2 linked regions of the Rattus norvegicus genome follow. The protein of the gene in region 1 binds, or shares a complex with, the protein of each later gene. Links are inferred from orthologs where the notes say so. Each region holds a gene or a part of one and is shown on either strand. Other genes may lie near its edges.

Region 1 (5,110 bases):
TACATGTAAACAATTTAAAATGGAAAACTGTCGGGCTTCAAACAGTTTCAAAGGCAACAAGCAGCTAAGGTATCTATTTAACATGTCAAAGTGGATTTGGTCTCCAGGTTCTCCCAGCATCCTTCAGTTCCCGCCCATTACAGGGTATGGCTGGAATACCCATCCTCTACCCTGAACTCTCCAGCCCAGGGGGTGGGTTTCCCCTTCCCCAGAGGCTCTTCCCCATATAATCCAGACATTTTGTGCGCTCTCTCTCTCTCTCTCTCTCTCTCTCTCTCTCTCTCTCTCTCCATTTTTCTCTCCCTGCCTATGCATTCTCTTTCCTCTTATCTCTCTGCCCCCACCCCACCCCATTCCCTCCTGGTCGGTGTGGCAATTTCCCTGGCCCCATCGGTATCAGTGAACCTGCTCGAGAGCTGCCCCCAAATAAACCTTCCCTACTTTTAGTTTGACTTGCATTGGGTTATTTCATCCATAGAGAAAATCTATTAAAAACAAACACCCTGTAGACAGCACTGAACACCAACAGGACCGTTCCCTAGGCAGGACCTTACCTTCTAAATGCAGCCGCTGCCACCTCAGCTGACTCAGGGACACAGGTACGTAACTGGAAGCGGTGCGAGGCAGTGGTTAATGCACAGCCTTTGGTACCTGAGGTCTGGAGCACACCCTGATGATGCTTTCACTTCGTGGATAGGCTAATGAGCCTTCCTGGGCTTCATTTTCTTCATCCCTAAATCAGGGACAAGAGTAGTACTCTGCAGGTGGGGTTGAGGGAGTTACCGCGATCAGACTTAAGTGTAAGTGTCAGGTTCAAAAGAAACTGCCCGGACAAAAGGCTAAAGGAAGTATCTATTAGCATACTAAAGCCCCGAAGAGCATGCTGGCCTCCAGGCTCCCTCAATCAATATCTGTAGCTCTCCACTGATCTTCCCACCTTACTCCCTGACACTAAACTTCTCCAGCTCCTGGGCTTCCCTCCCCCAGCTTCTCCTTCCCATAGAACCCGGCCTGTTTGACCATGCTCTGCTCCTCTCTCTCTCTCTCTCTCTCTCTCTCTCTCTCTCTCTCTCTCTCTCAAATGAGACTTCGTGCTCAAGACTTTTAGAAGTAACATTAAGAATGGGAAGTTATAAAATCAAGAGACTGTAATGGAAACTAAACAACTCTCTCGAGCAGCTCTAATTAGGATGTGTCAGAGCCCAGCCTAGGAGGCTACTTAGTAGGCAAATGCTGTTACACTTTGACCTCCCTCCTCAGCTTGCATGGGACTGACAACCAAGGGGAAAAGAGGAACTTTAAATGCCCTAACACCACCCAGCATAGCCTTCTGGGAATGTCTCCATTAAAACTGTAGCTGACTAAGGGCTTACAGATCCCAGGGAGGGTGCGTCGGTTCCTACTGACACCGAGGGCTTTCCTAGCTTGTTCCCAGGACTCTATGGTTCCCTTCGGATTGAAACGGGTCCCCAAGGGCAGGACATAAAGCACAGCAGGCAGGCCTCTTATTCCCGGATACCTGTCTCACTGGTACCTAGAGGGAAATCAGGAGGGGTGTGGCCGCCCTTCCCAGCCTGCCAGAGTGGGCGGGGTCACTGGGTGGGTGGGGCGATGGGCGGGGCGATGGGCGGGGCGAGATCATTGAGGGAGTTCTAATGCCTCCCTGGAGTCACTACCGGGCTGTCTGAGGAACCTCTGCGCAGCAGCTGGCGGTGAGTGCCTGCTTTCTGATTCTGTGGTCTGCGGGTGATCAGGGTGGGTGGATGTGTGGAAAGGACGGTTTTCTGGGGGAAGTTTGAGGACTCCCGGAGGACAGCGCTTATTGCTGTGGAGGTGACGACCGTCACAAGTCCCATCCTCAGGACTCTTGTTAATTGGTTCTGGAACTGGCATGTCTGAGCTTCTGGAAGGGACTCTGTTTCTCCTGGAAGCGTTGACAGAGTAGATAGGCTGTAAAAGGAAAGGGTGTCTTGAGGGGAGTCTTGGCCAGCTTTGGTAACAGAGAAAGAAGAGGGTATAGGAAGCACATTGAAGCCCCCAGGATCCTTTGAAGTCTGAGGGGAGGCTTTGATTTGTGGATGGCTGGGACATTGGAGGGAAACTTGCAGGTGAGGTCCTTACCCAGAGGGAGAAAAGCCTGCTTTGGGTCTTAGCAGGAACTATTCCTGGTTCAGTTGCCCCCCTCCACCCCCTTCTCTGTAGGCCTCAGTTTCTCTTTTAGCCTTCAGAAATACTCTCTAACCCCAGCTGCTGCTTCATAATCCTTGCCCCAGCCTCCTGCTTACCGTTACTCATTTGTGAGTGTGGGAGTTGGGATCAAACCCTATTCCTGCCCGGACAGACCCACACCTCCGTGCCCAATGCCAGCTAAGCGCTCAGCCTTTTGCTTGGCTCTCTTTCAAGCCTTTGGTGCTGTCTTTGGACAAGCCAGCTCCCAAGCCTCTGGATAGGTCTGAGCTGGCTGAAGCTCTGACTTCTGTGTCTTTTTTAGAACCTGCAAGGTCCTGGCCTGGGATGGGGGCATTGGCTTTCTGGGATCTCACCCAGGGTTGTTATCCTGGAGGGGAAAAGCCCCATCCCCATCTCTGTGCTCTTGGTGAAGAAGACCAAAGAGTCAGCTTCATTGGCTCTGTCTTAGTCTGTTGTGAGGTCACTGGAGCTCCTGGTTTCTTGGCCACTTGATGCCAGTTGGCCTCTACATGCAGCTCCAAGCTGGCACTGGCTCCATCTTGCCCCCTCTCTCCCACCCAGGTCAGCATTGCAGAGTGGCCCAGTGAACAGGAACTTATTGTTAACAAAGTGGCTTCTATACCTGTTTGGCCAAAGTGTGTGCCTTGCAATCTCTGCTCGCTGGTTCCACAGCTACCTCCCCACACTGGGTGGAATAAACCCACCCTCAACTCATGCAGACCCCATCTGTGCCCTGGGTGATACACAGGGTTATGGTGACTACATCCCGCTAACACCTGCCATCTCAGATGACAGGAAATACTGTGGGGAGAAGAAGCTGGGACAGGGCTTGGGGACTAGGGTTTTGCATAGCAGAGGAAGGCACCTCTGAGACAGTCACTACTGAACAAAATCTTAAGGAGGTGATAGGCAAGTCATGTGACTATCTTGGGGGATAGAGAAAGCTGTGTGTGTGTGTGTGTGTGTGTGTGTGTGTGTGTGTGTGTGTGTGTGAAAAGCAGGAGCATGACAGACCAGAGCAGGCTTCCTTGTTCTGAGAGTAAGGAGCAGGCCAGGAGCTACGGCAGGGTGGAAATGGGGTGGGGGAGTGGGGGGTGGTTAGGAGGAAAGAGGTGGCAGCTGAAATCTCTTGTATTGGGCTTGAGGTCACTCTATAAAAGCTGTTGGCTTTCACTTTGACCATGTGGGAGCTGTGAACAGCTCCTGCTCTGACTTAGGGTCTGGCGGGGTTCATCTAGTTGTGAGGCAGAGATGGAGATTCATGGCAGATGAGGGAACTATGAGGGTGCTGTAGAGCTTACATCATGGTATATGGCTTTTAGACTTGGAGTCTGTTGAAGGTTGGGTGTATAGTCTGTGATACTGGAGAGAGGCAGAGTCAAGCCTGACTGAGCGTTTGGGGCCGCCGTCGTCTGGGAGGGGTGCTGTTAGGAAGGAGATCCAGTGATTGATTTTGTATTTGTCTTTTGGAGATGCTGGTACGCACCACTCGATGCTGAATAGCTCCCAGTAACATTTCAGTCATTGTTATCACACAGTTGGGAATTGGGCCTGTGGGCAGAGAAGCGTCAGTAATTCAGTTCTTGGTGGTGGTGGTGGTGGTGGGGGATGGGGGACAGGACTAGGAACCACTTGGAGACAGAGTGGCTAGAAGGAAGGAGAGTGGGAAGTGGGGTGGAGTATCAGAGAAATCCTTCATGACTTTTGGAGCAGTGCTCCAGGGAGGAGGGTGAGCAGCAGTGCTCCAGGGAGGAGGGTGAGCAGCAGTGTTCCAGGGAGGAGGGGGAGCATCAGTGCTCTAGGGAGGAGGGAGAGCATCAGTGCTCCAGGGAGGAGGGTGAGCATCAGTGCTCCAGGGAGGAGGGTGAGCAGCAGTGCTCCAGGGAGGAGGGGGAGCAGCAGTGCTCCAGAGAGGAGGGAGAGCATCAGTGCTCCAGGGAGGAGGGTGAGCAGCAGTGCTCCAGGGAGGAGGGTGAGCAGAGTGCTCCAGGGAGGAGGGGGAGCAGGGTGAAAGAATGCCCTTGATGACAGAAAGGAAGGTGGGGAACAGAACAACTGGAAATCATGGAGGGGGAAGGAGTTGGAGTGTGGACTTGGGAATGGCAGTTCAGGTCCGGACAAGGGAGAATGGAAAGGAAGGATAGATTAGTCTGTTGGTGCTCTGATGGGAACTGGTTCCCTGAGAAGCAATTCAGAGTTGGAGCAGGAGAGTGGGGTTAGTTAGTGCCCCAGAGAAAGCTTAGCCAGCCAGGGCTGGGACAGTTCAGGGTCACATTTCCCTCTCCCCTGGATGCTTCCCTTCTGCTCCAGTCTGCAGTAGGCCCGTGGCACTGCAAACTAAGTCCTCAACTAGGGACTTCATGAAAACCAGGCTACCTATGATCCTGGACAGGAAGGAAGTGCTAAGAAGGAAAGGTGGGCTTGGGGACTAGGAACCTTTGAAGATACCTTTGGCCCTTTATTTCAGAAAGGAGGTGACCCCTTTGTTTGGGTTGCATCTTGCAGAGCCTAAGAGTGACCCCAAGGTGGCAGTGACCTGGTAGAGAAGACAAGGGTGACAAAGCAATGTGTTTAGCCTGGGGAGAGCAAGTCTGACCAGGTAGGACAAGGACAGGTTTCTGGGACTAACGAATGGAGAACTTCCTGGCTGCTCTGGAGGACAGTACCAAGACCAGACCTTCTTTTCCAGCTGTTTGGGATGAGATAGGGGCTTGGCCTTCTAAGAGGCAGGGGACTGGCAGAATTGATCTTTGGGGATATGTCGTGCCTTGTGTCTGCAGACACTGGCAAGATGGGAATTTCCAACTGCAGTAGAAGACAGAGTACCAAACCACATACATGGCCTTCCTGCCTCACCCCACCTGTATCCACATGGCTGATGTCATTGTCAGGGTGTGGATGGTTTGAGTATCCGATAGGC
Region 2 (4,634 bases), about 6.8 Mb from region 1:
CCAGGCAGCCCTGGGGTTCCATGTCCAGCTGCACCTCATGCCTCTCATTGTCCAAGAAGTCTTCCAACTTCAGAAATTTGAGAGCACACAGACCCCTCTGGTCACGCCAGAACACAGCCAACTCCAGCTCCCGAGCCTTGAGGAAAAACGGTCATCACTTCCTGTGTCTGATGCCTCAACTCCCCTTCTTCTACTGCCCGGTGCCCCCATGCACAGCTCACCCTCTCCAGCTCCAGGGTGAAGCTCTGGTCCCAGGCATTGGGGCCGCATGGCTTCCAGGCTGTTTGCCCCACCACAGTGTTGTCCAGCTTGAGCACGGTGCTGACCTCAGCTGAAACCAGGAGAGGGCAGCAGGAAAGAGGGAGGGGAGGGCTTGCTCCTAATCCTGTCAGAGGCCCTCCTGGACGCTCTGCTAACTTGCCTTTCACACTAAAGCCTTTAATTCGACTGTGGGTTTAGGGAAGGAGGTTGCTTGTTTGTGTGTTGTTGTTTTTTTGTTTTTTTGTTTTTTTTTTTTTTGGGTTTTGAGATACAATCTTACTCTAAAGACCAAGCTAGCCTAGAACTTACTACTTAACCCAGATTGGCTTTGAATCCTCCTACCTTAGCCTCCTGGGTATTAGGGTTATAGGCATGCACCACAGGTCAGCCCTCATTTTTGTTTTGTTTTTGAGATGATGTTTCATGTATCCCAAGCTGGCCCTTAACTTGTGATCTTCCTGCTTCTACCTTCTAAATTCTGGGAGGCTTGTAGGACCACACAAGATATGAGTTTGGTTTGTTTTTGAGACAGTCTTGTGTAACTCAGGCTGGCCCTGGACACTATGTATTGTGAACTTCTGATTGTCCTGTCTCGACTTCCAAGCCTGCTGGTAGTACAGACGTGTGCTACCCTATTTGGTTTATCCAGGGCTGGGAATCAAACTAAGGGTCTTACGCATGCTAGGCAAATCCCACCTAACCTCTGTGGGCTTGTGTAAGTGCAAATCCATGGAGTTCTGCATTCTTTTTTTTTTTTTTTTAAGATTTATTCATTTATTATATATAAGTACATTGTAACTGTCTTCAGATACACCAGAAGAGGGCGTCAGATCTCTTTACAGATGGTTGTGAGCCACCATGTGGTTGCTGGGAATTGAACTCAGGACCTCTGGAAGAGTAGTCGGGTGCTCTTAACCACTGAGCCATCTCTCCAGCCTGGAGTTCTGCATTCTTACTACCAGTCACCCCCTGCACTCGGGACGGCTTCTGAGCTTTAATTCCAGAGGATGAGGACACCCTTCCCTATTGAACACTCTCTAGCCTCTAGCATCTGCCATTCGTTCTACTTCCTGTCTCGGTGCATCTGTGGCTCTGGGACATGCTATGAGCGGAATCAGGCCATCTTTGTCTTCTTACAACTGGCTTCTTTTGCTTCCTGCGCCATCCTCAGTGTCTCTCTGTGCTACGGTGTGGTTCATGCTATCCTTGCTTCTAAGACTGAATCCTAGCCCACTGTGTGCCTGTCCACCTGTGGCCTGGCTTCTCCCTTCTTGTTGTTGTGAATAATGCCTCAAGCTGGGCATCTAACAACTCAGGCCCTGCTCAGTTCTCTGAGGGTGTAGAAGCTGAACTGCTAGAGCATGTACTGCTAATTTCACCTTTACTTTTGTTGGGTTTAGATGAAAGGAACCAAGACCTCAAGTATAGCAGGCAAGTAGTCTACCTTTAATCAGTGGCTCCAGTGCCTCAGGGGAGGCTCTCGGCAGGTGCTCTCTCACTGAGTCCCGCCCCACCTTCCCACTGGGGAGGGGGCTCTAGGCAGGAGTTCTATCCCAGCCACACTCTGGCTACTCACCGGGGCATTCTAGGCAGCTCCACTGCTGACCTGTGTCCCCAGCATCCCCAGCATGTTTGACTCCCCAAGATGGCTTTCGCTTTGCATTCCCACACCCAACACAGGTTCCGATTTCTCTACGTCTTCTCTACATTTGTGGGGTTTTATTTTGTTCTGTTTGTCTTGTCATCATTTGGTAAGTCATCCCAATGGATGTCACATACTTTTTTATTTAATGTATTCATTTTAATTTTTATTTACTTTTACTTTTATGTGTACGTGTGTTTTGCATGCATGTATGTATATGCACTAGGTATGTACCTGGTACCTGAAGAGGTCAGAAGGTGACAGAGCCTCTAGAACTGGAGTCATGGATGGTTGTGAGCTGCCATGTGGGTGCTGGGAACTAACCCGAGGTCCTCTGCAAGAGTAGCCAGTGCTCTCAACTGCTGAGCCTTCTCTCTGGTACCTAATGTTTATTTTTTAATTATGTGTGTGAGAGAAAGTATGGAAGTCTGTTCACATGGATGTAGTAAGCAAAAAAATCAGAAGAGAATCAGATCCTCTGAAACTGTGGTGACGGCAGCTAAAGGACACCTGATGTGGGTCGGGGTCCTCTGCAAACTCAGTACACACTCCTTCCCCTCGAGTCCCTGTCTAGTGCCCTATACTGTGTAACTAGTACAGAGCCATGGCAGCCATGGCACAGCCAACTCAGTTGGCTGAACCACGAATCTCTTGAGCCCAGAGCTGGATGGCAGCCTGGGTGACAGTGAAACCCTGGCTTTACATAAGTAAGCAAATAGACAAACCAATAAAAAAAAACGCCACAGGGATTGGAGATTTAGCTCAGTGGTAGAGTGCTTGCCTAGCAAGCACAAGGCCCTGGGTTCGGTCCCCAGCTCCGAAAAAAAGAAAAAAGAAAAAAAAAAAAAACCGCCACAAACGCGGCCACTTCACCCACCCGCACACCCACTCAGCCTCCCGTGACCACTCACTGGAATTCTCTGCCTCCCCCTTGAGGCTGCTCCGTCCACTAAGGCTTCCACTTCGGTTGTAAAGGCCCCGAGCTGGACGACTCAGGAAAGGAGTGCGGCTGTCGGGGGTCCCAGATGCCCCGACTGAGGGGGGAGGGCTCCAAGGGATGGTCTCGGGAAGGTTTTTGCAGCCCACCACTCGTACTTCCAGGGTCCCTGCAGGAAGGGCAGACGCATGGGAAGCAGGCAGAGGAGAGAGCACAACAGGGAAGGGACCTCGCCTTGAACAAGTGGCAGTCGAGAAAGAACGGTCAGCCAGGGAGGCAGGGGTCTAAGGAGGTGACACTCAGGGCAGCCAAGGGGAGACAGCAGGACTAGGCTGAGATGTGATGATTTGCCATGGACTGCTGACAGGGCGGAGGAGGAGGGTGAGGACAATAGTCTAATGTCAGAACAGAGCAAGAAGATGGGGTTGCTTGGCCGGCAGAGATGAAAGTGGGGACCAGGATTAAAGGGAAGGAGGTGATGAGGGGAGGAGGTGGTGAGGGGAGGAGGTGGTGAGGGGAGGAGGTGATGAGGGGAAGGAGGTGATGAGGGGAGGAGGTGATGAGGGGAGGAAGTGATGAGGGGAGGAGGTGATGAGGGGAGGAGGTGGTGAGGGGAGGAGGTGGTGAGGGGAGGAGGTGGTGAGGGGAGGAGGTGATGAGGGGAGGAGGTGATGAGGGGAGGAGGTGATGAGGGGAGGAGGTGATGAGGGGAGGAGGTGATGAGGGGAAGGAGGTGACAGAGAAGGAGGTGACAGAGAAGGAGGTGATGAGGGGAGGAGGTGATGAGGGGAAGGAGGTGACAGAGAAGGAGGTGACAGAGGAGGTGATGAGGGGAGGAGGTGATGAGGGGAAGGAGGTGACAGAGAAGGAGGTGATGAGGGGAGGAGGTGATGAGGGAAGGAGGTGATGAGGGGAGGAAGTGATGAGGGGAAGGAGGTGACAGAGAAGGAGGTGACAGAGAAGGAGGTGACAGAGAAGGAGGTGATGAGGGGAAGGAGGTGATGGTGGGGAAGGAGGTGACGAGGGAAGGAGGTGATAAGGGAAGGAGGTGATGGAGGGGAAGGAGGTGATGGAGGAGGTGATGGAGGGGAAGGAAGTGATGGAGGGGAAGGAGGTGATGGGGTCAGCACAGTCATGGCTGGGAGCCTGGAGATCCAGGCAAGTGGTCTCAGGGCCAGGTCCCGAGAGTGCAGTCAGTCAGAAGCCCACCTGTGAGTGGTGCAGGCTTGCTCAAGGTGCTGTAGTGAGTGGCAGGGAAGGGCCCAGGCAGTATTGCACTGAAGGCTGCCGATGAGGCCGCAGTGAGCTCCTCCCGAAGCAGGCGTCCCTTGGGGTGATCAGCAGGCAGTTCCCCCAAGCGCCTCTCCAGTGACTCCCGCAGCAAGCCCAGCTTCTGGTTGGACTCAGTCAATTTCTCCTGAGCCTGAGGTAGGAAGGCAGAGAGCTGAGAACAGGCATAGGCCCTTCCCCAAGAACCCACCCACTTCTAGCAACTTCTTCCTCAAGGTTAAACCTCAAACCTACTTAGACCCATCAGGTGGAACCTTGAAAACTAGGCTTTGCCCCTCGCTGGTGCCAGGACCCCCTGAGGTACCACCCACATTAAAGCTTCTTGTTGTGAGGACCTCTCGCAGGCCTCACCTCCCCCTGAAGCTCTAGCATAGACAGGACTAATGCTGTCCTCCTCTCTACTGAGGCTCACACCCAGTGGCAGTCCACCTGAGTTATTGTGCCACCCTCACCAGGACCTCTCTCTTTTACATCCCTTGAATGCCACGCCTCCAGCAGAAGCCC

Evidence for each region.
Region 2: Nod2 (region 1) and Pkn1 share a complex: the UniProt entries of both Homo sapiens proteins name them as parts of the signaling complex. The link is inferred for Rattus norvegicus from reciprocal best matches to the Homo sapiens genes NOD2 and PKN1.

The regions. Positions count from the first base shown.
Region 1 is NC_086037.1:34,592,799-34,597,908, reverse strand, and holds the start of Nod2 (nucleotide-binding oligomerization domain-containing protein 2), read left to right. Parts: upstream 1-1,666; 5' UTR 1,667-1,712; intron 1,713-5,110. UniProt on the Homo sapiens protein: Pattern recognition receptor (PRR) that detects bacterial peptidoglycan fragments and other danger signals and plays an important role in gastrointestinal immunity.
Region 2 is NC_086037.1:41,359,632-41,364,265, reverse strand, and holds part of Pkn1 (serine/threonine-protein kinase N1), read right to left. Parts: exon of another isoform or gene 4,264-4,634; coding exon 4,050-4,263; exon of another isoform or gene 3,907-4,049; intron 3,857-3,906; exon of another isoform or gene 3,822-3,856; intron 3,604-3,821; exon of another isoform or gene 3,511-3,603; intron 3,010-3,510; coding exon 2,815-3,009; intron 332-2,814; coding exon 222-331; intron 137-221; coding exon 1-136. UniProt on the Homo sapiens protein: PKC-related serine/threonine-protein kinase involved in various processes such as regulation of the intermediate filaments of the actin cytoskeleton, cell migration, tumor cell invasion and transcription regulation.